Linked DNA regions of Mytilus edulis. The protein of the gene in region 1 purifies or fractionates together with the protein of each later gene. This does not show direct contact. Links are inferred from orthologs where the notes say so. Each region holds a gene or a part of one and is shown on either strand. Other genes may lie near its edges.

Region 1 (10,313 bases):
GTCACAAAGATGGCCATACGCGACGGCATAAAAGCAATTGCTTTAAAAAAAACCAAATTACAGAAATCACTTAAATTTTACAATTATTTAGTTTATGTACAGCTTATTTGAAAAAAATAATAAAAAATATAGATCACCGATGAGTTAAATAAGATATTTCAATTTCAAAATGCCAAAAAATTACATTTTTACACCAAAGGGAGATAATTTGGAGCTTTTCAATGATAAAACCATTTTAATTGTCATCTGGGGCCAAACTGAATCAATTTTTTTGGTAGATTTTTGTACCATATCATAAAGTTATACTAATAGTGTTATAAATAAAATTTGTAATGAAAAAACATGAAAATTTTGTACCTGTGAGCCTCCTTAAATAAACATAGGTAATTCAATCAGTCAAATAAGCAATTTTGAAATAGTGGCTAACCTTTTTAACCACCATAGCTTTTAAAAGTTACAAAATTGGGCCCCTTTTTTTTTTTTTACCAAAAAGGGCTTTATCATTTGTTATTCAATATTTACAGTCCTAAACTGATGCAGGAAAATGCCTGATGTTTCGCACCTGGATGTAAAAGTCTGGTTTCTAATGCTGATTTCAGTGATGTTACCAACTGGGTCCTCACATCAGTTTTCTCTAAACACATCTTAAGATCTAATATTGCTGGTTCAGATTCAGGAAATTCTATGATTATATTGAAGAGCTGCTCAATTTGAATGTTTGCAAAAGACTCATACAAGAAATGGAGTAGTCTCCCTTTGAATCCATCAATACAGTCAGAGTATATGTGTGTTCTGTTACCCGAATAAACCAGGTGCAACCAACCAAGAACTTTTGTATCTAACCACTGTCAACATAAAGAAAAAGATTGTTTAGTTTAACTTTTAATACAGTACATGTACATGTAGTACATATTGTAAATATTTACACAAATATCAATGAATAGTATTTTCTTGTTTACTGCAAACTAGACAATTCATGCTTTTACCATAATGTATCACCAAAAAAAGTGAAAAACCAGGAAGTTAGGAACTCTCAGAAATGCTGCCTACTCAAAAAATCTTTTATTGCCCTGATGTGATTTTTTTTTTTATTCAAATAGGCATGAAGACTAATAAACATCTGCTACTTAAATTTCTCTTTGCCAAAAAAGAAAGAAAATGCATACCTACACTGTCTCAATGTTGGGCAGGGTTTGGGCAAACCTAAAATTTTTTAAGTGTGGCCCTAGCTGTATGGGGGAGGGTTGCGATCTCACTAAACGTTTTTAACCCTGTCATACCTTTGCGCCTGTCCAAAGTCAGGAGCCATTAGCCTTTGTTAGTCTTGTATGATTATTAGTTTTAGTTCATTTATATGTTTTGGTGTTTAGTATGACATCCATTTATTTTGAACTAGTACACATTTTTGTTAAGGGGTCAATTGAAGGTCGCCTCAGGGTGAAGGATTTTCGCAAAGTGTTAAAGGCCTATTGGTGACCTTTGCCTATTCTCTGCTCTTTGATTGGGTAATTGTCTCTCTTGTCTATGATATGTTTTCTATGTCTTTTTATCTATATAACATACTGTTTCCAATATATCAATATAAGATGTTTCAAAGTTCCCTTTGCAGGAGTTCTCTACATATGTCTTTATTCTTTCATGTACAATATTTGTGACAGCTGTTCCAGACACTCTCTCTAGGATACCAATGTCATCTCTGAAATATTCAAATAGTAAACAATTAGTCTCAACTTCAAAATGTTCCTATTAAAATTTGTGACAAAAATGAAAAAAGAGCAAAAATAGTCACTCAGGGGTATAATTTCTATAGGGTTAATAATCATCAATCAAGAGCTATAGCTGCTATAAGGGGGCACTTGGCAATTTCAGCATGGGTGGCTTAATATTTGTACACATTATTGACTTCATGATTTTATAATTCAAGTTTTTCTCTATAATAGTTTTAAAAATAATATCCACTCACAAACTACCAATTTTGTTCAAATTAACATTTGAAGAAAATTTAATATTTAAGTTTTACTCTTACTGCTTTTAATAGGTTTTGAGATATACGGCAAAAACTGGAATTTAACCCTTATCTTCTTATTTACCAACATCAATCATGTTTGTTGTTTGTTCAAATTCCTTGATACCATTTTAAACTCGATTCCCTAAGAAACAGTTTAGAAAAGTTTGGTAACATTTTGTAGTTTCAGAGGAAAGATTTTATTAAATGTTTACAACAGAGGAACAGAGGGATCATGACAATGCACTTCAAATTTTTACAATAGCTCACATGGTTTTTAAGTGTGTCAAGGTATCATTGATCCTGAGACTTTTTGTAAGTGATTATTCAGTAATGATATCACTTTATTGAAGTGAATATGTGTCTGTTTACAATTAGAGTTTTCTGTTTAGAATATGTGGAAGTAAGATAGTATGTGTGAACTTGAGCATGTCACTGTTTACACTTAGTAAGACATTATGTGTGAACCTGAGCATGTCACTGTTTACACTTAGTAAGACATTATGTGTGAACCTGAGCATGTCACTGTTTACACTTAGTAAGACATTATGTGTGAACCTGAGCATGTCACTGTTTACACTTACAGTTTTCTGTTAAGATTATGGAAGTTCAACATTATGTGTTGACATAAGCATGTCTCTGAGGGCTGTTCACACCCTTTACAGCTGGTTTCTTCATCATCTTCACTGTCTACAATACAAAAAGTAAATGATAAGAGATTAAGCTTCTAAATGAAAGACACATACCCTTTAGTTCTCCAAGAAAATTTAAGAAAAAGGAAAAATGAATTATTGTACTATTGCAAAATAAAGGATTTTTAAATAAAAAGTATCTAACTTTATTGCTAGTTTATGAAATTTTCCTTTTATCTTACTGATTGATAATTTCCTTTCTCAGTTTAGTTGAGTGATATGAGATTGCTTTTCTCACTTTTGCTCAAGCAAGAAAATCAATCTCCTTGAGATTATCAAAGATAATTTATAATAACATCTATATACATGACATATATATGCTGCCAGTAAACAGTTAAGGACTAGAAATACAACATGTACATGTATACCTTGATCAGGTTCAGTTGTTGTATGATGAAACACTTTAAATGCATCTGAATAAAATTTATTCACTATTTCTTGGAAAGTTCTAGGAAAAATGGAAAACAATGTTGATTTCATTAGAAGTATGAAAGCTTCTGTCAATGAGGATGTATTAAATAAGGTGGATGACTTCCTCCAACGTTTTATTTGGGTTGTGGATTCAAGTCTTTGAATACAGGGGAGATAGTCCATTGTCACTTTATGTAAATATTCAACTGCTTCAAGAAGTTGGTCTGTTTCACTTGGCTGTATAGAAAAGTAGTTCCAGAACTGTGGACCAACTTTTTGTCGCAAATCTTCTTGTAAAGTATCCAGAAACCATTCCTCTATGATGTGTCCTAAATCTTGCTTGCATAGAATTTCAACAGCATTCTGGAATTCAACTTCTGAACTGATATATGCCTGGGAAGTCTGAAAAATTCAAATAAATAAAGTAAGATAAAGGTTGAATATATATGACACCCTTGTATCAACTCAAAACTTTTTCATTTCAAATAGTAATGTAATTGTTTTTTACATTGAATTTTTTTCCACAGATTGCTCGCAAACTAAACAACTTTTAGATCTGTGCCAGTCTGAACATATATTTTGCATATGTAACAACCATTTTTCCATTGTGGCTTCAGATATTTTGTATTATGATGCCAAAATTTTAATGAAGCCTTAAGTGATAAGGTGTATAACAGGTAACAATTAAAATTACAATGTATGTACATTGTCATAATAAATTTGTAGCTACATCATAGTATGTGTACATAAAGGGAGCCCACAACCCCTGGGTCCCCATAATTCAACTATGACATGTATGATGTGTTAAATAGAAAGAATACCAAACTATAATTTTAGGGTCATATATCCTAGACCATATCGCTGTAAAGAACGATTACATTATGATATATTTAACACACACATATGGCAATATTATTGAACGTCAAGTAAACAATAACACCAGAGGACTTAAAGTATCAATTAGCAACAAACGGGTGAGTCTTTTCACCACCGAACACCCCAAAAACCACCAACCACTATGAGAAACTGTGATATTATACAATAAAACGATAAAACAAATTATTAATCACTTATAATTAAACAATTTGTAGATTTTTATAGGCATCATTTTTGTGTTAAAATCGATAATCAATACAAGGAAAAATGTCTCTGGATTCATCACCTTCCAGATTACATTGTGTATTTTATTAAAATGATAAAATTCAAATGTATTCATAATAAGTAATAAGTTGAAGTATCTTCGATCTCTGTTCTCGGTTAGATTTTGACATAAGTCTCTTTTCTTATTAGGCCAATTAAAATTAATTGATAGATTTTCATCCCAGCCGCCCCTCTGAAATCGTCCCGCCCCGATTTTTTTTATTTAAAAAATTTACGATTTCCGAATTTTTTTCATGTCCGTTACCGGTAACCATTTATAATTTCGTTGCATTCAAACTTCCTGTTTCAAATTTTGGTGTTGTATTCCTTCAAGTTATCTCAAATGATTAAGTCGGCATATTCTGCTGCTCTATGATGACATCATTATCTACCGAGAATAGAGATTGAATACGAGAAAGGCATGAAATATTCGGATTACGAGTAAAAAGCTGTGTCTAAGAACGCAAATGGCAGTGTGTCACAAATGATTAGAAAACTGTTTTTATTTTTATTTATACAATTACTTTGTGTCAGAAAATTGGACTGTGAATGATATCCAAAGGGCATATCCAAAGGGCAAGAGTCATGGAACACATTGGTACAAAATCATGAAGGGATTAAAGAAATTGACATAAGCACTAACTTGTTAGATTTATGACCGTATGTAATTGAGCTAAAACAAAAGTCTACAATCATACGCATGTCATTACAGCAAGCCTTTACATTTACCTTATATGGCTGTCGTTTTTTGTTGATAAACAGCAAACACCCTCTGTCCCAATACCCTCAATATATTTATTAAACAACAACTTCTTTTTGGTTAAGTTCATGATTTACAATATCTTGCTCTAGCACCAAACCTATTACTTTCAACACTGTTTGAGTTTTCATTTTATTCTGTACTCATAATACATGTGTTGCCTACATTTGTACTACTACACACAATGGCTTAGAAAGCAAAATGAATTTGGTGTTGGTATAGTCCAACTGAAGAGAGCATTTCTCATGTTTCTCTACATTTTTTATGTTTATATATAGGCCAGTTTCTAAAGCTGTAATTACATGTATAACAGTGGTTGCCAATCAGAGATATTTATTCAAGAGTTTGAAAAATTATGTACATGATATAAGCTTATTTAACACTTGCCTATACGCCCTGCGGTATTAATAACTGGACACAAGAGGGTTTCGTATGAAATAAAATTTAAAAAATAAAATCCTCCCACCCACCCCAGTTTTTTTTTAAAATCTGGATGTAAATCTACTAATTAATTTTAGTTGGCCTTATTGGTACAACTATTATAGAGATAGAAGAAGAAGAAACAATTAATATTTGAACTCTAAATCTTGTGATTTGTTGAATTAATAACTTGAAAGTTATATTTAAGTCACATTTATAACGTTAAAAGACAAAATAATAAACTTTTGGGGTGTTCAGTGGTGTTTGGCGGTGTGTGGTGGTGAAACGACCTACCGGCAACAAACCACAGTACAAACATTAATTTTTTGTGGAAACAACTATTCACTGGAACCAACAAGTTGTGCATGCATGTTCTGTAGAAGCATTTAAGACCGCTCTACAAGAACACTGCCCATAACAACAGCACTCTTCTCCACCGTGTATAAAAGCCTAAAAAGGATTCTACACGTACCACTACAGATACAGACAGATTTATATTTTAGAAAACAAACCCCAACCATAACCAGATCTAAACCAGATAACACCGGCTCTTACCCCCGAAACCTTACCAACACCGTAAAGTAAATTGACCCCTAAGTAAAAGGATGGCAAATATTTTAACTCTAAAAAGAATTGCTACTTTTTTTTCTCCAGGTGTCAAAGTGTCTGTTAAAACAGTCCAAGCTCTGTTTACAAGTTCAACATTTGCCGCCATCTTGGCTTATTGACCAATCTGGGTAAAAATTATTGCTACGGCTCCGGGAACGGTTTGGAATACAAAAAAAAGTTAAAAATAGTTTTCAACTTCTGAATTTTCGATTTCAATGTAACAAACAGTTATCATTACTGATTTTCATATGTCTGGAAATAGAAAATTTCATCATATGTCTGGAAAGAGAAAATTTCATCATATTGTCTGGAAGAGAAAATTTCAAGGAGTGGTGTACTTGCCGTGTGATTTTTTTTATTGATATCTATACTATATTTTCCACCTGCAAACTTTTTTTTTTAATTCAAAATAAAGTTTAAAAAATACCAACTTATATAAAAACAAGAGTGCACACACTGAAATGTCTCCCCTTCTTTACTTATCATTGATATTATGTTGATAGACCTAAGTATAAAGCTTTATTACAACTGTCACATAAACTAAACATTAACCAAGATAACTAAACGAGACCAATAAACCACGAAAATGAGTTCAAGGTCAGATGGACCATGCCGGGCAGACATGTACAGCTAACAATGCTGCCATACAACAAATATAGTTAACCTATTACTTATAGTTTAAGAAAAATAGACCAAAACACAAAAACGTAACACTGTACAATGAACCGTGAAATTGAGGTCACGCTCAAATAAAACAAGCCCAACTGAAATAAAGATCATAAAATATTTCAATACACCAAATATATGGTTGACCTATGGCATATAGTATTAGATAAAAGGACCAAAACTCAAAAACTAAACTTTGACTACTGAACCATGAAAATGAGGTCAAGGTCAGATGACATCTGCCCGCTAGACATGTACACCTTACAATCATTCCATACAACAAATATATTAGACCTATTGCATAAAGTATGAGGAAAACAGACCAAAACACAAAAACTTAACTATAACCACCGAACCATGAAAATGAGGTCAAGGTCAGATGACACCTGCCAAAGTTCTATCAGAAAATACACTATTTCCGAGTTGTTGAAAAAAATATGTATCAGTTGAAATATTATAAATCTATTCTTTTAAATGAAAATTCACATTATAAGTGATCTGCATTCCTCACCAAATTTTGCTAATTTGATTGAAAATCTAGACCTTAGGTTCTCCGTTATATACAATCCAAAATGGCGAAGATCCCCATATCACCTGAATTAGTTGTAAGGAGATGTGGTATGGGTGCCAATGAGACAACTACCCATCCTAGTCACAATTTGTAAAAGGAAATTATTATTGGTCAAAGTACTGTCTTCAACACGGAGCATTGGCTCACACCGAACAGCAAGCTATAAAGGGTCCAAAAAATGACTAGTGTAAAACCATTCAAACGGGAAAATCAATGGTCCAATCTATATATAAAAACGAGAAACGAGAAACGAGAAACTCCTATGAAACACATCATTCGGAGAAGACGCTACTAAGTTGTAAAACTTGTGTCTGATCCTTATGTCATTTTGAACAATAAAATATGTTTAAATTAACACATCAACAAACGACATAATCTGAACATCAAATTCCTGACTTAGAACAGATGCAAACAAAGGCAGCGGGTTTAAACTTTTAAATAGGTACCAACCTTCACCTTTATCTGAAACAAAAGTGTAACATCACAACATAGGAAGACACACTAAAATATCAATTAAAATGGCCTAACACAATAAAAAGACAAATTAACACAGGTTAAAACAAACACTGAACGAATAATTTGAACTATGATACAATGTAAAGCCAATAGTAACCAATTTGACGCTAATGGTAGCCGAAAACAAGCCTGGGAGCATTCATACCCTCGTAAATAACAGGAAACAGCTGTACTCGCAAGAGAAAGAACTGCCAGGTATATATGGGTCGGAATTGTCATTGTAATGCTAACTTGTATTTGTAGTATTTGTATTTTTATTCATCTGATGAGTTAAGCCTTTTTCAACTGATTTTTATAGTTCGTTCTTATGTTGTACTGTTACACCACTGTCCCATGTTAGAAGAGGATTGGGATCCCCGGCGCTAACATGTTTAACCCCGCCACATTATGTATGTATGTGCCTGTCCCAAGTCAGGAACCTGTAATTCAGTGGTTGTACATGTCGTTTGTTTATGTGTTATATATTTTTTGTACATAAATTAGGCCGTTAGTTTCTCGTTTGAATTATTTTACATAGTCATTTCGGAGCCTTTTATAGCTGACTATGCAGTATGGACCTTGCTCATTGTTGAATGCTGTACGGTGACCAATGGTTGTTAATTTCAGTGTTATTCGGTCGCTTGTGGAGAGTTGTCTAATTGGCAATCATACCACATCTTCTTTTTTATATATCGTGTTATGATAGTTTATTTGAAGTAGCCTGGGATCCGGCCCAATCTAGCTGCGCGTCATACTGACAAGATTAGCCAGGACCCCAGGCTATATTTGAAGCTGATTGGTATAAACTTTATCGACGACTAATAGAAATTCCGGCGGCGTTGGTCTTCTTTCCATCATATAAACAACAGATATTCCGTCCAGCAGATAACATGTAAGACAATAGAGGTGAACTTAAATCATAATAAATAGTTGGTAGTGTATTAACCTTTAGTGCACGCCTGCAAATACTTTTTCCGAATAGTTTTTTTTAATTACTGTATAAGATGTTATCATTTTTAAATGTGATAATGAGCTTGGTAATTTTAACCTTGACATGTTATATTCTGACAAATGTCAACCTTTATGTGATCTCTGGAATAGTTTTGATAAAGATCAATTAGCAAAAGATCCAACTTGTTTTAAAAAAGATTGCAGACTAACTTTATTTCATTTATTTATGTCGTTTTGGCGATAAAAAATAATTATATAACCCGCCGCAATACATTTTTCTAACTTGTCATGATAAGTGACTGCCATGATCTGGTTTCTACCGCTGTAAAGAGTCAGTTGCTTGCACAGCAACAAAAACTAGAGGCTCTAAAGAGCCTGTGTCGCTCACCTTGGTCTATGTGAGTATTAAACAAAGGACGCAGATGGATTCATGACAAAATTGTGTTTTTGTGATGGTGATGTGTTTGTACATCTTACTTTACTGAACATTCTTACTGCTTACAATTATCTCTATTTATAATCAGTGGCGGATCCAGGGGGAGGGGGGGTTCCGGGGGTGCGCACCCCCCCTTATTTTTGCCGATCAATGCATTTGTATCGGGACATATGTTTTGAACCCCCCCCCCCCCCCTTTGCCCTGGGTTCCCTGGGTTCCCTGGGTTAGCACCCCCCCCCCTTTCGAAAATTCCTGCATCCGCCCCTGATAATGAACTTGGCCCAGTAGTTTCAGAGGAGAAGATTTTTGTAAAAGATAACTAAGATTTACGAAAAATGGTTAAAAATTGACTATAAAGGGCAATAACTCCTAAAGGGGTTAACTGATCATTTCAATCATGTTGACTTATTTGTAAATCTTACTTTGCTCAACATTATTGCTGTTTACAGTTTATCTCTATCTATAATAATATTCAAGATAATAACCAAAAACAGCAAAATTTCCTTAAAATTACCAATTCAGGGGCAGCAACCCAACAACAGGTTGTCCGATTCATCTGAAAATTTCAGGGCAGATAGATCTTGACCTGATAATCAATTTTATTCCTATCAGATTTGCTCTAAATGCTTTGGTTTTTGAGTCATGAGCCAAAAACTGCATTTTACCCCTATGTTCTATTTTTAGCTGTGGCGGCCATCTTGGTTGGTTGGCCGGGTCACGCCACACATTTTTTAAACTAGATACCCTAATGATGATTGTGGACAAGTTTGGTTAAATTTGTCTCGGTAGTTTCAGAGGAGAAGATTTTTGTACAAGATAACAAAACTTCACGAAAAATTGTCAAAAAATGACTATAAAGGGCAATAACTCCTTAAGGGGTCAACTGACCATTTTGGTCATGTTGACTTTTTTGTAGATCTTACTTTGCTGAACATTATTGCTATTTACAGTTTATCTCTATCTATAATTATATTCAAGATAATAACCAAAAACGGTGAAATTTCCTAAAAATGACCTATTTTGGGGCAGCAACCCAACAACGGGTTGTCTGATTTATCTGAAAATTTCAGGGCAGATAGATCTTGACCTGATAAACAATTTTACCCCGTCAGATTTGCTCTAAATGCTTTGGTTTTTGAGTTATAAGCCAAAAACTG
Region 2 (10,370 bases), on another chromosome or scaffold:
TTAGCTACCAAATTTGAAGTGAGAAAGTAAAGAGCTATTTTAATCTGAACATAAAACAGCTTTTACTAACATTTCGACGATTAAAGATGACGTGCCTGTACACAAGGAAGTATTCTGGTTAACAACTTTAATTACTTAATTTATGCCGAGGATCGCCGCCGAGAAAACTAAATAACATATTATCAGCTTCAACAAATACTAAAAATATATGGTCAATTTATAGTTACAATGTACATGTATACAGCCTCAACAAGGCCAAGGTACATCCAATGTTGTATACAGTAGCTCTATAAATTTGTCTTATTCTTTTTAACTCTTTTTCATTTAGATTTATCATTACAAATGCACCGTATTTGTGGACACACCTTTGATAACTATTAACAAGTTTGACTGATCAACAGATAAGAAAAATTGAAAATGGGGCATACATTCTACATGGCATTATTTTTCTTCTGGGGGTCAAAATTTTATCCAAGACAATGTTAACCTAACTACAGAAACAATAAAAGTTCTGCATGAATTTGGTTGGTTAAAAGGCAATATCGGTCCGGTATGATGTTATCCAACTTTCTACAAGATTTGATCTGTTCACGCAGGGGGGAGGGTTGAGATTGCAAAAACATGTTTAACCCCGCCGCAATTTTGCGCCTGTCACAAGTTAGGAGCCCCTGGCCTTTTTTATTTTTGTATGATTTTTTGTTTTAATTTCTTGAGTATATTTCAAAGCTGAGTATGACGTCCATAATCATTTCAAACTAGTACATTTTTGTTTAGAAGCCAGCTGAAGAACGCCTCCGGGTTTGGGAGATTCTTGCTGCATTGATGACCCATTTGTGGTCGTCGGCCGTTGTCTGCTTTTTGAACGTGTTGGTGTCTCTTTGACAACTCCCTCATGTCCATTTCCAATTTTTAATTCAATCTGTATATAGTAGATCTTGTGTCCGCTTTGAGCAAAACCTCTGCTGTACTGGTATATGCCCATGCCAAGGAAGTTGTCTTTGTATGGATATTATTCCGATAAGAATGATGAGATAACAAGTTAAAATGAAGCTATAATATTCTGATATCGCAATATTTCGACACCTAAATGGTCATACATCCCATTGGTCCGACGTTTCGATCATTTAGGTTATACGCTAACGGGATTTTAACATAAGAAAGCCAAATAAAAGGTTCAATATTAGGATAACCTTGTCCTCCGTTTGAAGCGGTGAAACAAGATATAAAAAAGTAATACGTAGTGCCAAAGTAGCCCGAAGGTCATCACTAGCGTAATTTAAAATAAGTACAAACTTCTTTGTCAAGTGTTGTTTGATTAATAAGATATCTCAAGATACACGGCGGCCGACTAAAGTAAAATCAAACACAGTTTAACGTAACAATGAGTGGTCACATTTTCCTTGTGATGTTTTATATTAAAAATTAATTGTCAATTTGTTGATATAAATATACTAGTAGCACTTTACTCATTTTAGTAATGTTAGTTAGTACTCTTGTCATATCTGATTTAGTGATGTAAATGAAATTGCGGTATGATCCAGACTCAACATATTGCACTACAATAATAAAAAAAAATCCGCCCTATGGTTGTCTGATCTTGAAGCGGTTGGTAGGCTTTCAAACTAACAGGAGACCATACGCTTCCTGAATTTTAATGTACAGCTCATCATGGAACTTTCTAAACAATTAAAAATATGTCATATGTTATATTTTCCCCTTGCTTCAAATATTTTGCTTCGAATTATTTATATCAAATTTGCAGATATATGATTGTAAATACGTGCAATCAAATGATATGGAGGTATAATAAGATTTAGATAATGCAAGGGCGACTACAGATACATTTGTGTGACTTAATGGTTGATTTTCAAAGACTCCGAGAGAAAACGTTACGTAACATGCGTTACCGTTAAAATCAACCAACATTAATTAATACTATGATAGAAATATATTTCCCAACAGTAATACAGCATTCCTATAAAATTGTTTCATTTTTGTATTTGTTTTGACTCGATTTTTCTACTGGAAGTATCCGTGAATTGAAATTGCACCCATGACCTTTGACCTCGATTTAAAAAAAATGCACCATAATTTCTTTTGACGATCGACCGGGATATTTAGAAAGTACACATTCTTAGCTTTCCAGTGATATATAATTTAGCCGTGTGTTAGGTAGGTGCATTAAAAATGTGAATTTGGCTCTCATATCACTCGCCTATAGTGTATAGTGACACGTATATAAATTATTTGCATTTCTTTAAGATAATCAAATCATTGAAAAAGATCAGAGGCGGACTCGGCCATTTTTAAAAGGGTTGGGGCCACTGAGTGTTTATTACATAATACAAGAGATACGTTACCCCGAAATACTACAAGCACCAAAGTAAGATTCGTGCGTATTCGATCCGACGGACGTCAACTGTTTACCAGCGGCTCCTTGACCCTGTATAGATAATTACATCCTTAGTGGCACCGTTCAATGTCAACTTCGTAAACTTTGGTTTTGGAGAATCTAGGTCATCCTGCTTCGCCGACGCAATCTTTGCCAGCCAAATATCAGATATTGCGGGGAAGAGTGAGTGGCTATCTCTAATGGCTGAAATTATAGTTCTTACAGTAGCCAAAGCAATTCCAATACAGTTTATCTGCGACACATTTTTAAGTGGTTTTGTGTCAAAAAAATGTCCTAAAACTTTTGAATACGTGCATCCTCCAAAACAATAAATAAAAAAATAAATAAGTGCTAACAAATTCACTGCCCCGATGATCGATCCGTCAAGGCTTAATTATATTCTGCACCTTCCTGAACTTGCACTTTAAATTTATTTATAAACACATTTCCTACACCCGAGGTGCATAGTAGATGGAAGGCGATAGAAAATGGTATAAAAAACTGAAAAAAAATAGATGTATAAATATATATCTGTAAAAATTATTTAAACACGATTAAAAAGATAACAAAAACTACACGAAACCTATAATCAATTTAGTGGAATAAATGTATATGATTATATATGAAATATAAATGATAAGTGATGTGAACCTCAAAAAAAGTTTATCTGATTACAAGCAATCCTTGGTCTAATTTGTCTAACTTTCTCCATTTGCTTCATTAAGCATTGGTAAGGTCAGAATGTCCTTCTCATAGACTATATGTCTACCCACCTACCCTTTTTCAAAGATGTAATCGGAAACACACATATTTTGTGGGGGCCTAATAGAATATTACCCATTGTGGGATGGTGTATTTCCCATTATCCTTGGTTATGATATCCATTATGTTTATAAGATAAGGAATCTTCTAGAACAGTTGTTTTTGAAGTGGAACATTTGATTTCCAAGCCCGCAGAAATTGTTAAATGTTTAACTTTAACCATTTTGGATTAAAATTGTAGTTACTCTGAATCTCAGGCTTGTATTGTCCTGAATATGTGAAAAAGTTTTTTTTTAATCAGATAGGCATGGAGACTAAAATTCATTTGACGCTTTAATTTCTCTTTGTTGTAAAAAAAAAAAAAAAAGACTACCTACCTACCCACTTGTTCAACCTTTGGGTAGGTTTGGACAAATCATAACATTTTTAAGTGTAGCCTAATTAAACAGTGTACATAAATCAAAAAAAAATACAAACTATTATCTATATTTTAAAATCGGCAGTTCAAACAAACGAAACATAGGAAATTGATTGCTAAACTTGATATGAAATATTTGCTTAAAGTTATGAAATAAAATAACTTGGAAATTTACTCACACTGTCATTGACTGTAGTTTACCAAGTACTGCACGAAAATCGTAAATATAAAAAACGAATCACAATCTTTCTTCACATCTGAATCAATGAAACTGATAAGGGTACCACTGATAAGATTTTACACGTCATGTTTTAAACAGTGAAAGTACGTGTAAAATACGGGATTTGAAATATCAAAAATAAGTAATAATGACAAAAAATATTCAAGTTTGGTAACATCATGAAACGTACTGACATTTAACATGGTTAACTGTCAGGTTATGTAAGCGGCCATTTTTTTTTAGAAATAATGGGTTAATTGTAACACTTGTAAAACTGACAAAAAACAATGCCTAAATATGAAAAATACATAGTTCATAACCCTGTACCGATAATAATTGCAATGCTCGCCTTAAGCTATCACGTGCACTAGTCTTGTTCATCTTGACAAAATCTTTTAAAAACCTCTACGATAATATTTAAGTTTGACAATGTTTGAGTATTTTAGCTGACATATGATTTCTGATTACAAGTTTAATTGATTATACTTCATGTCGAAATGTATAATATTGTAATTAGTTATCTGTGTATTTCTCAGTCTTATGTGTTCTTGCATTTATTTGTACTGTTTTCTGTCATGTAAATTAATATTGTCATTTTAGCGGTATATTTAAAATTGCCATTAAGCGCGAGGTTTGGCTAGCCACAAAACCAGGATCAATCCCAAATTTGTTCTTAAAATACCAATTAAAAAATATGGAAGTTGTTATCTTATATTTCATATTTAGGCATTGTTTTTTTTCTTCCAAAACGTTCCGCACGGTCAGTTTAAAAAGTGTTACAATAAACCCATTAGTAAAGCCATCAAAGCTTTGGATGAAATTAATTCTAAAAATTGATACAGATACAGTTAAGTCGGCCTCATATCTTGACTTACATCTATAAATTGACAATGAGGGTCGGTTGAAAACAAAACTTTACGCATGCCAAGAAATCCTCGCTAAAAATTCCGGTCGACCTCCTACGGCAGTCATTAGTAGCTAAAGATTTGATTTCATTCAAGAAATTAATTTATGACCTTCATGTACGTGTCGCTTAGAACACGGCCATATACCAAATGGTCAATAATAATCATTCATGTAATTTGCTCTATGGGATATTTTCAGAATTTCAACAGAGGCAATTTCTTGGCATGACAAAAAAAGATGATTTCAGTTTTCCAATTGTGAACTTTCCATTTCTAAGTAGCAACATTCCAACAGCACCTGCATACGGGGTATATATCCCAATTTGCTTGTATCTCCTATCATGATTTTCTTGATAGAGGGTTGCTGCTCACAAGGAAGCTATTAAACCAAGAGTTCCAAATGGTGAAGTTGAAATCATCCCTTGGTAAATTTTACGGACGCCATCACGAGTTGGTTGACCGTTTTTGGAATAACCGTTTCAGCGAAATGATATCGGATATGTTCCTTACGTCGTAACTACAGTCCCCTTCCCTTTCATGAATGTGACCTACCGAATTAGACTATTTACCGGATTTGTTATCACATTAGCAACACGACGGGTGCCACATGTGGAGCAGGGTCTACAATGTGAATTGTTCATGGTTAGACAGAATAAAGACTGTTCTAAACGAATGCGGTATGACTATCTCTAATGTGTGGGAAACGATGATTGTGAAGTATTTCTATATGTTAAATTTCAACAGGGACTTTCTATACTAAAGTTAGTCAGGAACATATATACTATACATTAATATACTGTTTCCAGAGTTTGTAAAGAAAGTCCCTGCCGATTTCACTGATTACTCAGCTTTTGTGGACCACATGAAAACCGCGTCTGGTCAAGTTTTACCAATTTTGATCTTTGAACAAATATGTATTTTAAATGGTGAAGTGATTTTTTCCGTTAAAAAACCCCCCACAAAATCAAATATATACTTATAATTGAATACAACAGGGACCAAACAAAGTGGCAAAACCATTATCAATTAAGTGTTCGGTACACCCCCCTTTTTTCAAAAAATAATAAAAAGAAAATCACGAACTACAAAAAAAAAAAAAAAACGAAAGATGCAACACAGAACCCATATATCTTCATATTTTACTTTATAAGAATATGTCATGTTAATGAAGAAATTATACAAATATTTTTTTTAAAAGTTTGTAAAGGAAAATGTGTGTCGAAGGGAAACGAGCCGGGTCCCAGAAAAGTAACCAGTCTTGAATTATCGCCCCTGTGACCCAAATATTATTGAAATCGAGGCGGTTAAAAAGAATGAATACAATCAACGAAAGTGTGAAAGACAGGGCAAATAAAACGTAAAATAGAAGTAATATGTTACTTCAAGAACCCGTACAGGTATGAAAACTGACAATGCTATTAGATGACTAAATATACCTACCCAAAATAAGTCACATTTCCTGTAAATAAAGTGTATTAGAGCTAAAAAACAGAACAACTAAAAGTGACATGAATCCATATAAACAGGTGTCTTATTGTTATTCGTAGATTTCCTCCTTTTTAACGATTTGAATTAAATTCATTCAAAATTGAATTGGCACCAGCAGTGTTCACATGAAGAAATTTATTGGCATCAGAAATATATGATGAGCCTGACAGTCTCAACTGAACTTGAGACCATTGTCTTGATAGTTGGCAAGGACCAGTCTGCTCAGAAATTCAGCTTTTTTCTTCAAAATTCCCAATTGCAACATCCTATCAAATCACTCTCTCTACATGCAAATGAATCAGCAATTACACACATGATTAGTCTTCAAATATTATCAGTCTGGGGTAACCATGATCATGATAACAACATCAGAACATCAACAATTTTGATTTGTCCCTCTATAAAAAAAAGTCGCTGTCGCGTAAATTTGGCACCATGTTTTTTGTTAAAATTTTCTTGAATATAGACCGTGTTTACTAAAGAACATGTTTTTCAATTAGCGGAAGAAAAATCCTGTCCAAATAACCACTGCAGTCCTACCTTTTATTGTGTTTGCACTGTATAATCCTGACCTTCACATAATCCAGGATTATTTTGTATGGTGGAATCCGACATTGTTATTGCCGGAAGTGTTGCCGTGGAGTTCCACGTGCTCTCCATTTTCTTGTGTCTCTTGGAGCTTTTTGTCATCTTTATGTAAAAAGCACGGGAAATTGTATCATCAATGACAATGATCTTACTGGAGAATAACGAATGTTATGGAACAAGGGATCCTCATAGAAACCAAGATGGCAGTTTTACAATGTAAATAATCTTAAAAATTTGAAGGTCAGGATTATACAGTGCAAACACAATAAAAAGTAAGACCGTAGTGGATATTTGGACTGGATTTAACTTTCACTAAATAAAAACATCATCTTGAATAAACACGGCTGATATTTAAAAAAATTTTAACAAAAAAACATGGTGCCAATTTTACGTGATCGTGATGGCGACTATAGTCTAGTCCAAATATTCATGATATTTATGAGTCTTGCAATGCTATTTCAAATAATTACACAAGGCTATTTTGATTTTCTTCTGAGACATCTTTCTACGATGTCATAACGCTGAAGCCATTTTTAGTGTCTTCTGAAGGCTTATGGTGCCGACTTTAAAATCATTAATCCTCTGTATGCCGCATTCGTTTCTGTGTATTACAATTTCATAACAACTTCTGATTCCAGACATCGATTTTAATGCATGATTATGCATTTGAATCATTTAATTTGTAAATTAGGATTGAAAAACAATCACTATCGTAAATGTGTATCCTTTTATTTATGTTAATTATTAGATTTCATCTCTTCTACATGAACGTTATTTGTTTATTTGTAACCGGATGTTTTTACTGTAGATATTTGTAGTACGCATGCATGAATTTAGTATCGGGACAACTCGCCCTGTTTACATGTTCGCCCTTGAAGTTACGAATTTGCAATCTTGTAGACAAGAAGATTTTGTTTTTAATAAATAAAAGGGATCTATTTCTTATTAAATTGTTGTCTTTATTCATTGTTTTCCTTTGTCATGTGAATTAGATACCCTTTTACTTCAAATGGTTTGAATCTATTTATAAAATTATTCAAGACTCAGTTGACAAGAGCAGTCAGTACGTTGCTGTTGGGAGAATTTTTATTAAACTCTAAATGCTTATAGAATATGAAATATAATCTAAACTGAATGTACCTCCTTCTGAATAATTTATTGCAATATAAATATAAATCCCTTTTGATAAGAGAAATCTGACTTTTGTCAGAAATATTTTTTTCACATGTGCAAAGGTAATCACGTGTGGCGGCCATATTAGTTTGTTTACAAATTTGTTAAGAAGCCTCTAGAACCATGACCTAACCATAAATAGTCTTCCGAAAACTTAAACTTTATGCAATACTATTTTATCAATCATGATTATTTTCATAAATTTAAATTTGATTATTTAAAGAAATAAAATTATAACAATTACCATTTTAGATTAGAGATTCTCCACAGACATGCTTTGATCTATTTATAGCCAAATTAGTTTACCTGTGTGAAAATGTAAATAATGGATATTTAATTTGTTTACTAAACAAGTAAAGACAAACTATGGATGGGAGATAATAATTCACATAAATATTTCAGGACATTTGACTTATTTTAATAAATATAGGATTTAAAAACTGCAAGTGCAAACAAATTCAATCATTACATAATCAGCTGATAATTTTTTAAGCAACCATCGTGGTGATGTAACTGATAAAAAACACTCCATCAGTCCTCCAGCCCTTTCACATATTAAGCAATATATCTGCTTAATTATTATTGCAGAATATTCAATGAATATACATTCATCGTCTAATTGAATATATCGGGTAATCTGATATTTTTAGCTGACATTTTGGGTATCCGGTTGGCCGGAGTCTACTGTACTACCTTAAAGTAAAATTTTTAAGATTTTTAACTCAAAAGTGGGAAAATTCATTATATTTGGAACAACTTTTCTAAATGAGGGGTCAAATTAATAAAGAAGATATATAACATGTATAAGTTAAGAAACATCACAAAATTCTTTTGACATGTTTTGACCATTTAATACTTAATAGATGCATAGTTCTTGGGGAAAAGTTTCATCAAATAATATGAATATAAAGGTGCTCATTTTTTACAGTGGGTTGTAATGTTCTTCCAGTGAGGGTTACCCCTCATTTGGAGTGTTGTTCCCAACCTGTTAAAAGTCCATCTTTGTGCATAATTCAAAATTGGAAATTTCTACAAGCCATGATCTAATATTCTTACACAAATAGATAAACCCTGATCTGCTAGCTACTTGTTCATCTTTTCTACCGATTTAATAACTAGAATCATGCAAACAGACTTAAGAAAAAGACATGCAAGTTTATCATACAAATATGACACTTTTTCTAGACAATCCAGATCGTGCAAAATACTTTGCTAAAAATTGTAACGTTTGAAATTGTTGTTGCGCACTAAAAAAAACCATGAGAACTTTCAAAAGTTGGCGGGTATGTAACAAGTCTTACTATCTTTATGCCCCATTTATGGGCATTATGTTTTCTGGTTTGTCCGCCCATCCTGCTTCAGGTTAAAGTTTATGGTCGAGGTAGTTTTTGATGAACTTGAAATCCAATTAACTTGAAACTTAGAAATCGTCACATGTGTTTCTTATGATATGATCTTTCTAATTTACCGCCAAGTTAAACATGTTTTTACCTAATTTTCACAGTCCACTGAACATAGAAAATGATTGTAGGGATGGGAAATCCATTTACTTATGACACATTCTTGTTTGAAGAAAAAAAATACATCATAATAAAAATGGAACAAAGCAGCCAGGGTTAGTGGGGCTGCTTTTATGGTAATTCAAGTTACCTTTTATTCACCTTCTTCCACCTCAGAGCTATCAGCTCTTTGATTACATCTTGACTTTGAGAAAGAATTTTTCTTTGGGGGGGAGGGACCTTGAGAACAAATTTTGGCATGTATTCATCATTGCCAGCTAGTTAATTTTACACAGTTACAAAGTCTTACATGTACCTTTTTTGTGCTTATCGATGCAAAATATTCCAAAAATACCCAAAAGAAATGATAAAATAAGAAACGATTGAGGTTGGCAAATATTTATTTTGTTTTCAAAATGGTTTTCAAGAATTTCCAAGAAATGTCACTTCCAGTAAATATAAACATGATAAATGATTAAACTAGTAAAAATTTGATGGACCTGAATTTCAAGAACATTGAATTTTCAGTATCCATAAAATTCAGGTCTGTCAAATTTACCAAGTTTAATATTTTTAGTCTTTTTCCCTGAAATCTGAGTAGGGTTCTGATCCTTTTAAAAATCTCCTTGACACTAAAACACATGTAAATCAAACATATAAAGTCAAATGATTCATGATTAAAATAAATAAGTTGAATTCATTTTTTACTACATATTGGGAAAACAACGATATAAACATGATAAACACAACATGAATTTGTCAATTTCAGGCAGCAATATGGGACTCCCTGAACCATTATGCCTATACAGATGCCACTTTCCTGGCTGAAAGATTATATGCAGAAGGTAAACATTATTTGAATTGTTAACAAAATTACATATAAATACTTTAAATTTCATTTATATATATTTGTTTCACAAACCAC
Region 3 (10,462 bases), about 5.3 Mb from region 1:
TGATCAAGGTTAAAGTTTATGTGATCAGAAGCTGTAAGCAGTAGTTCCACTTTATTTGGTGTATGGAATGATTGTAAGGTCAACATGTCTGTCAGATAGGTATCATCTTTCCTTGATCTCATTTTCATGGTTAATGGATCAGTGATCAAAGATAAAGGTTATGTGATTCTCAAATAGTGTATTAATGAAAACAAGGTGTACATGTCTGTCTGGAAAAGTTAATCTGACTTTAACTTCATTTACAAGTTTTCCTGATTAAGTCTATTTCCTAGATACTTCAAGAAATGGGTTCAACTAAATTTGATGTATGAATAATTACAAAGATGTGCATATCTTTTTGGTATAATTCATTTGACCGTGACCTCATTTCATGGTTAATTGGTCTGTTTCTTGTATGCTAAAAGCAATAGGCCAGCTAAATTTGGTGTATTGAATAATTGTAAGGTGTTAAGGTCTGTCTGACTTTTATTAAGTTTATGTAATCACTCATGTAGAAGACTGGAAGTTGTTAAATATCTCCTTATTTCACAAAAAAAGTATCACAAACTTTGTATGCTTGGAATCAGTGCAAGATTTATATTTTTATTCTAAAGATAATTTGAGACAGGTGAAAAGACCTTCAATTGTAAGACATCTCTAAACATTTGGTTTAAAACTTTAATAAAATGTCAGCTTATTTCACTACAGGTGTATTCCTCACTCTGATTTCACAATATTAGAGAAATTTTGCAGATTTTTCAGTTGGTGCTGATAATCAACTTGTGAATAATCAATTTAAATTAGTTGATTTTTTTTTTAATTCATATATCTTGTACTATACATGTGTAACACTACAGGAAGAAAATGATAAAAAAAAACAAAAAAAACATATATATGCACATGTATCCATTTTGTCTCAATGAAGTATTGATCATGAAAACAAATGCAAAGTCATCCATATTTTTCAATTTACAGTTCAATAATTATTATACATATTGCTGAAATTTATATGTTTGTTTACTGTATATTTTCTGCTACATTGTATATATCCAAGCAAAATTTCATCATCTTTGTCATTGTCCAACAGATCCCTTGTTGCCTATCACATGTATGATGATTTGATAATCATTCAAGAAACAAGATTTATTCTTATTCATCTAATTGTTGGTTGTAGTTGGTGGTTGTTCATGTAAGACTGATAATCCTAAGTCTGTCCACTTTTGTTCCTGTTCAGTAAGTGTCTCGTTGGTTGGTCCATTATCTGGTTCTAGTTCTGGTAATTCCATTTGTGGAACATTGATATCTTCCATTGGTAATTTATCTTTTCTCCATTCTTCATCCACTAAGTCCATTAATCTTCCATCTCGACAAACTTCACTGTCCATTTTATTTGTCTACAAAAAAGCCACATTAAGAATTTTTTTTTAGATTTATATGCATCAAGTAATAATAAAAGTTTGAAAAATAAATATTTAAAAAGTTAAGCATTCTTATTCAAAACAAATCAATTTGATAAATTTAGAGATGAGGATCCCTATGCTGTATTTCAGTCCTGAATTACAAAATATCAAAGTCAGCTTCACTGCACAAAGATAATAAAATAAGATAATCCATCTGCTTGTGAGCACAAAAAATATAAAGATTTCTATCATTTTGACATATATATATACACTTAAATTTCAACTTGTTATATTGTATTTAATGATCGAATACATGACATTTGTGTGTAGGCAATTTATATGTGCAATCAAAACAACGGACATGACAAATGCATCCGATATTTGTCAAATCAAGCAGGAGTACCTTTACCAGATGGATTATTATTCCTATCTGTTGCTTCAGATGTTTAAGTGTTTTTTTTTACTCTTTTACACAACAGTGATATTGATGCCATTGAATGGGTAAGATAACTGACAAATGAAGGATTTTTGTGAAATTGATTAATCGTTAATCATATTGATAACTCTAATTTGTGTTTGTTATACATTTATATATTGAAGAATCCATTACTTTATCAAAAGAATGACTTTTTGATTACTGTAAAAGACAGGGTATTAAATTATTTATAGGTAAACAAATAATGAAGAAAGTTCAGCACAATTCTGTTGTTCAACTTTATGAGTCGCATACAATGATACATGACATATTTTATAGTGGAAATGATTTGTTCTAATCGTAGATCCTCATCTACGACAAAAAAGTTCTAAATTTGACTCAAATTTAGAACTTTATAAAAACAGCTTACAGCATTTTCACCAAATTCTATGTCAATGCTAAAAATTGCTACATGTATATCAGTCTTCACGCTGAGTGGCAGCCCAGGCTTGTAAAATTGCTCTCGGGCCTGTAAAAATCATATTTACAGGCCAACAGAATCTAACTAAAAATTTTCAAAAATTGAGCTCCGGGCCTGTAGATTTAACATTTCATCGTAAAGACTGGTTATATGTCATATATGTTGACAGTTGTTTTCTAGATGGAAGCTCAATAAAATATTTAATGCCTCACTGGCAAATTGACCCACTTTTTTAGCTCACCTGACCTGAAAGGTCAAGTGAGCTTTTCTCATCACTTGGCGTCCGTCGTCCGTAAACTTTTACAAAAATCTTCTCCTCTGAAACTACTGGGCCAAATTTAACCAAACTTGGCCACAATCATCCTTGGGGTATCTAGTTTAAAAAATGTGTCCGATGACCTGGTCATCAAACCAAGATGGCCGCCATGGCTAAAAATAGAACACAGGGGTAAAATGCAGTTTTTGGCTTATAACTCAAAAACCAAAGCATTTAGAGCAAATCTGACATGGGGTAAAATTGATTATCAGGTCAAGATCTATCTGCCCTGAAATTTTCAGATGAATCTGACAACCCGTTGTTGGGTTGCTGCCCCTGAATTGGTAATTTTAAGTAAATTTTGCTGTTTTTGGTTATTATCTTGAATATATATATCATTATAGATAGAGATAAACTGTAAACAGCAATAATGTTCAGCAAAGTAAGATTTACAAATAAGTCAACATGACTGAAATTTTCAGTTGACCCCTTTAGGAGTTATTGTCCTTTATAGTCAATTTTTAACCATTTTTCGTAAGTCTTAATAATCTTTTACAAAAATCTTCTCCTCTGAAACTACTGGGCCAAATTTAACCAAACTTGGCAAAAATCATCTTTTGGGTATCTAGTTAAAAAAATGTGTCCGATGACCCGGCCAACCAACCAAGATGGCCGCCACAGCTAAAAATAGAACATATGGGGTTAAATGCAGTTTTTGGCTTATAACTCAAAAACCAAAGCAGTTAGAGCAAATCTGATGGGGTTTAATTGTTTATTAGGTCAAGATCTATCTGCCCTGAAATTTTCAGATGGATCGGACAACTGATTGTGGGTTGCTGCCCCTGAATTGGTAATTTCAAGGAAATTTTGCAGTTTTTGGTTATTATCTTGAATACTATTATATGATTATAGATAGAGATAAACTGTAAACAGCAATAATGTTCAGCAAAGTAAGATCTACAAATAAGTCAACATGACCAAAATTGTCAGAGAACTCCTTACGGAGTAATTGTCCTTTATAGTCAATATTGAACAACTTTTCGTCATTTTTGTAACTTGTACAAAAATCTTCTTTTCTAAAACTATGGGCCACATTTAACCAAACTTGGCCACAATCATTACTAGGGTATCTATTTTAAAAAAGTGTCTAATGACCCTGCCTGCCAACCAAGATGGCCGACATCAGTAAATACAGTAACAGGTGAGTGACACAGGCTCTTGAGAGCCTCTAGTTGCCAACTCGCCCCACTTTTAAAAAAAATCACACCAAACTGGTTTACCAATTTGACCCACTTTTAAAAATCGCCCCACTTGAGAAAAGGGTTAAATCCCGTTAATTTTTCTCCTTTAACTTTTTATACATTGTGACTTGGATGGAGAGTTGTCTCATTCAATAGCAATAATACCACATCTTTTTATATGTATATAAGAGGGGCGAGTTGGCAGCGGGATTTTTGTCCTTCATAAATGGAGCTATCATAAAAGTTATCTAGCCTACATGTATTTTCAATGGGATTTTACCCTTTTTTCCTAAACAAAAGTGAGGCGAGTTGGTAAACAAGTGGGCGAGTTGGTAAACAAGTGGGGCGAGTTGGTAAAAAAGTGGGGCGAGTTGGTAAAAAAGTGGGGCGATTTGTCATATTCTCTCTTCTTTATGTCAATTGATTCTTATTTTGCCAACAACTGATTTCAGTTTTGTTATCCTTACTAAATTTTAGCAGGGACCGTTTCGCAGTACTTACTACTATTTATTCCTCCACGTAATACTTTATATCTATAAACTTAAAAATATAAACAATGTAATTCGTATTCTTCGTTCAAGGGAGATAATAAATCATGTCGAGTTAGCTCCACTTGGACCTGCGCACTTTGAGGGCACCTTGGAGACGCACCAACAAACTGAAACTTAAAATAGGACAACAAACTGTGCGAAAGATTGTCCGTCTGTTATCATCAAGATGCCGGTTGGAGGAAACGCCGTAATGCAGCGGCCTGTCCAGGAACAAATTGAAGAACTCAAGGCAAAGATCGCACTCCTTGGTAAGACGAGACTAAACAATATTGTCATTCAATTCCAAAAATTATTGTTGACCTATAATCTGATAATATGGCCATGTTTACGGCACAGAAATTACTCCGATATGCACTTTATTAATTCTTAAGGCATGACTAAATTATTGAAGTTGAACTTTTTTTTAATTTATTTTGAAATAGATTTGAATAGACAAATTTCGAGTTCGACGGTTCGAAACCCACGAACATCCTGAACATGACGAATTATTTTGAATAATTTTCGGCAAATTGAATTATCATAATTGACAATCAGCACTGCTGTCATAAAGGAATTGTGATTAAGTACATGTACCTACAGATAAATCATTATTTCTAGTTTATCCTGTACTATGACAGTAAGACTATGTCGATCACTAAGATGCTTGATGAACATTAAAAGTGCAGGGATATAGGTGATCCCTGGCCCAGCTATCTGGTAAATGACTAGTCCAAATAATTATGACGTCTGGCAAGGCTATTTTAATTTTTTTCTGGGACGCCTCCAAATAATTATGACGTCTGGCAGAAACAGAAAATGGTAAAATTCAAATAAATAAATGCCAAAACTTCACTATACACCTTATCGATTTTTTTTCGGCATTACTGGACATCACAAAAGTTCCCCTAAAATTTTGACGTCATAATAGAAAATATCTGACACCATGATGGAAAGTGATTGTATGTAGTCAAAAATTCAAGAAGAACCGATTTCTAGGGATAAGGTAGGTGTATACTTTACTCTAAGTAAAGTTAAAACCCTACCTAGGCTATTGCCCCAATCTTTTTTATGGAACTCTGGCTTTGGCAAACCAACATGTCTGTTACATGTATATATTTGAACAATAACTATTGAGAGGTCATAATTTTTATTGATATAAAAAATTAATAAAAACTACCAACCTAACATGCATCGTTTAAGTTGTATTTCGTCATATTTCATTCTTTTATGACACAAAAAATTACATGCATCCTGGACTCATCAAAATCTTTCAGGCTTTGTGATGCCCACTTGACCTCTATATATATATGTAAGAAAATTATATCAAATCCCAGCACTACCCAAAATATTTATCCTTCTGTTTATCAAACTTTAATTTATAAACATACAAAGAAATTACCAGTTTCATTTTAATGTTGTTTTATAATTGTTCGATGTAAATTTTGTAGAGGGTGATCGAAAGGCATATTACGAGACATCTCAACATGCTATGAAACACAATCAAGACACTGTCACAAAACTGAGAAAAGAAGATAAGGAATTAAGAAAGAAACTTAGTGATTCCCTCTCTGTAAGTATAACATAGATTCATTACCTCGTCCTAAAGTATTCTAGTTTTTTTTTCATCTTTTGGTTGGGTGTATGAGGTTCTTACTTGTAAAATGAATCAACTTGCTATATCACCATCAGGTAATTTGCTTCATATAAATTATTATGGTAAGCCATGAATATATTTCACAGCACAACATTGTATACTGTAAAACTTGTTTGTTGAATTTTCAGTTCCATCTATTTTTGTTACTTTGTTGACTTTATCATCAGAGTTTTAGACATCTATAAAAAAAAAAATATACAAGACTGTCACCCAATAATGAGATTTCATCTCAAACTCAAACAAGTTAGAAACTGTTTATCTTACTGTTTGACGTGTGAGATAACCCTGTCTTTAACACAGTCTTCTACTTCATGATGTTTATAGATTCACTATTTCTCTTTTATTTGTATTGTAAAAATTTAATATTTTATTTTAAATTGCAGCAAGATCAGCATGTCATTAATAAAGCCTTCCAAGACAAACCTGTACAGAGAGCTGAATTCAAAAATAAAACTGGAGATGTAAGTATCAATTGTAAAATATCTTTCACAACTTTACAGATGATAGTTAAAAATGTGGCTGACCATCATTGCATTGTACTATACAAGATTGTTTGCAAAATATGTATCAACATGAAATCTATAGAGACCTGTTGAAGTTGACAACTTAAAGCCACATAGATGTTCTTGTTGAGATTCAGAATACACTTGGCTACTTAATGTTTGTCATGGGACTCACCATTTCTAAAAAATATGAATAATTCTCTTACACTATATCCTAAGTTATAAAAGGCCTCTATTTCAAAACCTATATGTATACAAAATTAAAAAAAAATATGGAATATGAAGCCAGCTTCACATTGACTCTACAAAAATATGAAATATTGACATTCTATTTGTATGTTTGTAGCAAGCAATTACAGTAATGAAACACAAATTATGTGATTCAAAGAAGAAACTAAATGCATTGAAACATCAGTCTGCTCAGAAACAAAAGAAGATAGAGATTTTACAGACCAGGTATGATCAGATGCAGAAGGACTCTGCTGATGCTGTCTCTACAGATAAAGGAGAATCGGTTGATGCTCAGGTAAATTACTTATATGCTTTTTCATGCTATACATAAACTACTTTTGTAATTGAAAAAAAATGCCTATATATACATGATACATGTATATGTGTAACATTCTTTGCTGTTGGGTGAGCCTAGGCTCCAGTGTAGAAGACCATAATTTGACCTATAATATTTTACTTTTACAAATTGCAACTTGGATGGAGAGCTGTCTCATTGAATGCACTCATACATTGTACCACATCTTATATCTATTTGACATTTACTTAATTATAATTCTGGTTTATTAGCAACTTTTCTTAGCTTAAAATAACATCTTGCATCCTTCTGTACATGAAGTATACATTTTTGCACATAGTTAAACTTTTTTTTTAAATCTTTATTTAAGTAATGTGCAAATTCAATGATAAAACATTCAAAGAGAGATAATATATTTGTTGGGTTTTATTTTTCAGACTCTTAGATACCTTGAAAACAGTTATGACAAAACAAAACTGAAGATGGATGAAGCCACACATTTGTACAGGATTTACCAGGATATTAATAGAAAATTATGTGTGGTAAGTGTTTAAAAATGTTTACCAACTTGTAATGAAGTGGTTATGGCTAAGTGATTAATATTCAAGTGAACTGTAATATTTTTTGAAAAAAAAATTCTGACTCGATCTCTAACCTTCAAGACAATATTCAAAATGTTAAATTTAATTTGTCTATTGTTAGAAAAACAAGTATTTCAGAAGATATAAAATACTGATTTTTTTTATAAACAAAAAGAATTGTCAGTTAAATTAAAAGAACAATAACTCTACCGAGCATTGGCATTATGTTGTGTATTATTTAAATTCTCAGAAAAATAGTCACATAGGAGAGCAGCAGCTTACAAGGAAACAGTACTTCGAGAGAAAAAAACTTTTCCACTTTAATTTCATTTATTTCAAGTCTATTATTGACTAAAGGAATTATGATGTTTTGATTATTACAGGAAGCAGAAAAATTCCCAAGTGTATTGGACTCAATGGAATGTGAAATCAGAAGTGTCAAAGCAGAACTGAAGGAACTCAAAGCCATGCACGATGATGCTCAGATTTCCAAAACAGCAGCACAGGAAGAATTAGCTAAACATGAAAAGATCGTATACTCAGAAAGGAAACAGAGAGAAATAGAATTACAGAAAATGAAGAAAGAGGCTGAAGAAAAGAAAATACAACATGAAAGAATAGAAAGAAGAATTGTAAGATTATCTCCCTTTGAAAGATACATTTTTAGGAAAACTTTATTTTTGTCAGATGTAATTTCTTATTCAGTTTAAGAATAGTTTGAACTTTCTAGATATCTGTATTTTACAACTATACATGCCAAAAACAAGATAATGAAAGATTTATCACTTGAAAAAAAGACATGTTGTTAATTTCCAAATTTTTATTTAATAATTTCATTTCGATGTGAATTACAGAGAATTTTTTTATGCATATGTACATCTGTTAAATTGTTTACACTTTAGCAACAGAGAGGTTCTATTCAGCAAGATGAACTAACACCACAGGAGAAACAGGCCTTACAGGGTGAAGAACAACAACAAAAGATTACATCATATGAGGAAGCTTTTAGAAGAATTAAAGAAGCAACTGGTGTTTCTGATACTATGGTAATTTATACTCTCAGTTTATTACTTGGGACCATTTGTTAAAGATTTTAACTGTAGATTTTCAGTTAACAAGAAAAGAGAAAAATATGATTACATCTCTTAATTTCATGACTAATTTTTAACCAGTTAAAACTTTAAATTTTGCATTTAACCATTTATGGTCTTCTAAAAAAAAATGTCTGGAGGTATCACAAATATGCAAATGAACATATAGGGTTAAGTCCTACTTCAGTGATAAAAATAATGAAGTTTCAACACACGACAACATTAAATACATCAGTTATTCACATATAACAAACATCCAACAGTTTATTAGTTATTCATGCCACACAAAAATAGTCAATTATTTGTTGATAAAACTGTTTTGTATCCAGATTTTTATTACTTTTTTTAATAAAATAAAAATAAAAAAGAAGCAAGTGAGTCAAACTTAGAAAATAATTTATACATTAACAGATTTTCAATAAAAACAAACAAAATTTTAATTGATTCTAAATGTTTACAGGAAGTTGTAAGGCGGTTTGAAAACCAAGGAGATACCACAAAACATCTTGAAAATCTACAGAAAGACAATGAAAAGGGTATAACAAGACTGAAGGAGGATAAGGAGAAATTACAACAAGAATTTGAAGAAATGAAATATTCTGGTGATGCTAAACTATCAAGGTATGATGGCAGTAAATAGCCAAGACTGAATCAGGACGGCATATTCCACTTAAAATTATCAAGCCAAATATTCAAAACATTATCTTTAAGATATATACCAGTCACATTATCTTTAAGATATATACAAGTCACATTATCTTTAAGATATATACAAGTCACATTATCTTTAAGATATATACCAGTCACATTATCTTTAAGATATATAAAAGTCACATTATCTTTAAGATATATACAAGTCACATTATCTTTAAGATATATACCAGTCACATTATCTTTAAGATATATACCAGTCACATTATCTTTAAGATATATACAAGTCACATTATCTTTAAGATATATACCAGTCACATTATCTTTAAGATATATACCAGTCACATTATCTTTAAGATATATACCAGTCACATTATCTTTAAGATATATACCAGTCACATTATCTTTAAGATATATACAAGTCACATTATCTTTAAGATATATACCAGTCACATTATCTTTAAGATATATACCAGTCACATTATCTTTAAGATATATACAAGTCACATTATCTTTCTAGCTTCTTCAGTCATGAATTTTTTTTTTTGTCTGGTACAATCTTTCATTGCATTTAGATTTAATGTTGTTTTAACCCTTTCAACGCTATACACGGCATATGCCGCGATGACGTACGCCGTTCGCCACTGCTATTCGCGGCATATGCCGCGATGAAAAAGGATTTTTCATAAGGACTCTTTAAACCATTCGGTTTTCATTTGGGTTCTCTCTAATTTTTCCTCGTTTGAATCTAGGATATGCAAGGTCTCATTTGCGCTTGAAATCCCGACAATTTTTATGGTAAAATCATGCAGTAGAAGGAAAATAGAAGGAAAATAAAAACAAATATTTTGACAAATGCAAATGGCGGAAATCGGAAACGAAGCTGTAAATATGGAAAAATTTCAGCATTTCCTTGGCGAAACTTACAACGAGGATTAGTTAAAAGGTTTCTTGTTATCTCAATGTGTTTATTACATAAAATTCGTGTGGGAAATATGATTTGATCGATCATTACGAGACGTAGAAAAAGGGGGGAAAACGGAGGTTGACTGAATTTTTTTAGGACGGAGCTATTTATTTGTGCCACGATTACATAAAACGTTATGTATGGTACAATACGCTACGGAATCGGGCAACTGGTGTCTTCTTTACAA

What was found. The genes of interacting proteins can lie anywhere in the genome.
Region 2: the proteins of anaphase-promoting complex subunit 2-like (region 1) and cell division cycle protein 27 homolog purify together in Homo sapiens (affinity purification with western blotting; 20 studies listed by BioGRID and IntAct, with this or other methods). This does not show direct contact. The link is inferred for Mytilus edulis from reciprocal best matches to the Homo sapiens genes ANAPC2 and CDC27.
Region 3: the proteins of anaphase-promoting complex subunit 2-like (region 1) and anaphase-promoting complex subunit 13-like purify together in Homo sapiens (affinity purification with mass spectrometry; 3 studies listed by BioGRID and IntAct, counting the BioPlex papers as one, with this or other methods). This does not show direct contact. The link is inferred for Mytilus edulis from reciprocal best matches to the Homo sapiens genes ANAPC2 and ANAPC13.

The regions. Positions count from the first base shown.
Region 1 is NC_092345.1:6,934,033-6,944,345, reverse strand, and holds the start of anaphase-promoting complex subunit 2-like, read right to left. Parts: upstream 6,173-10,313; 5' UTR 6,144-6,172; coding exon 6,069-6,143; intron 5,939-6,068; exon of another isoform or gene 5,901-5,938; intron 3,511-5,900; coding exon 3,066-3,510; intron 2,696-3,065; coding exon 2,590-2,695; intron 1,697-2,589; coding exon 1,564-1,696; intron 846-1,563; coding exon 563-845; intron 1-562. UniProt on the Homo sapiens protein: Together with the RING-H2 protein ANAPC11, constitutes the catalytic component of the anaphase promoting complex/cyclosome (APC/C), a cell cycle-regulated E3 ubiquitin ligase that controls progression through mitosis and the G1 phase of the cell cycle.
Region 2 is NC_092357.1:17,613,148-17,623,517, reverse strand, and holds the start of cell division cycle protein 27 homolog, read left to right. Parts: upstream 1-5,964; 5' UTR 5,965-6,070; coding exon 6,071-6,094; intron 6,095-10,214; coding exon 10,215-10,290; intron 10,291-10,370. UniProt on the Homo sapiens protein: Component of the anaphase promoting complex/cyclosome (APC/C), a cell cycle-regulated E3 ubiquitin ligase that controls progression through mitosis and the G1 phase of the cell cycle.
Region 3 is NC_092345.1:12,226,880-12,237,341, reverse strand, and holds anaphase-promoting complex subunit 13-like, read right to left. Parts: upstream 4,407-10,462; 5' UTR 4,274-4,406; intron 1,374-4,273; 5' UTR 1,365-1,373; coding exon 1,137-1,364; 3' UTR 1,035-1,136; downstream 1-1,034. Other genes in the region: outer dynein arm-docking complex subunit 3-like, read left to right, coding at 4,490-4,571, 5,751-5,872, 6,340-6,417, 6,806-6,985, 7,423-7,527, 7,950-8,198, 8,469-8,612, 9,118-9,278. UniProt on the Homo sapiens protein: Component of the anaphase promoting complex/cyclosome (APC/C), a cell cycle-regulated E3 ubiquitin ligase that controls progression through mitosis and the G1 phase of the cell cycle.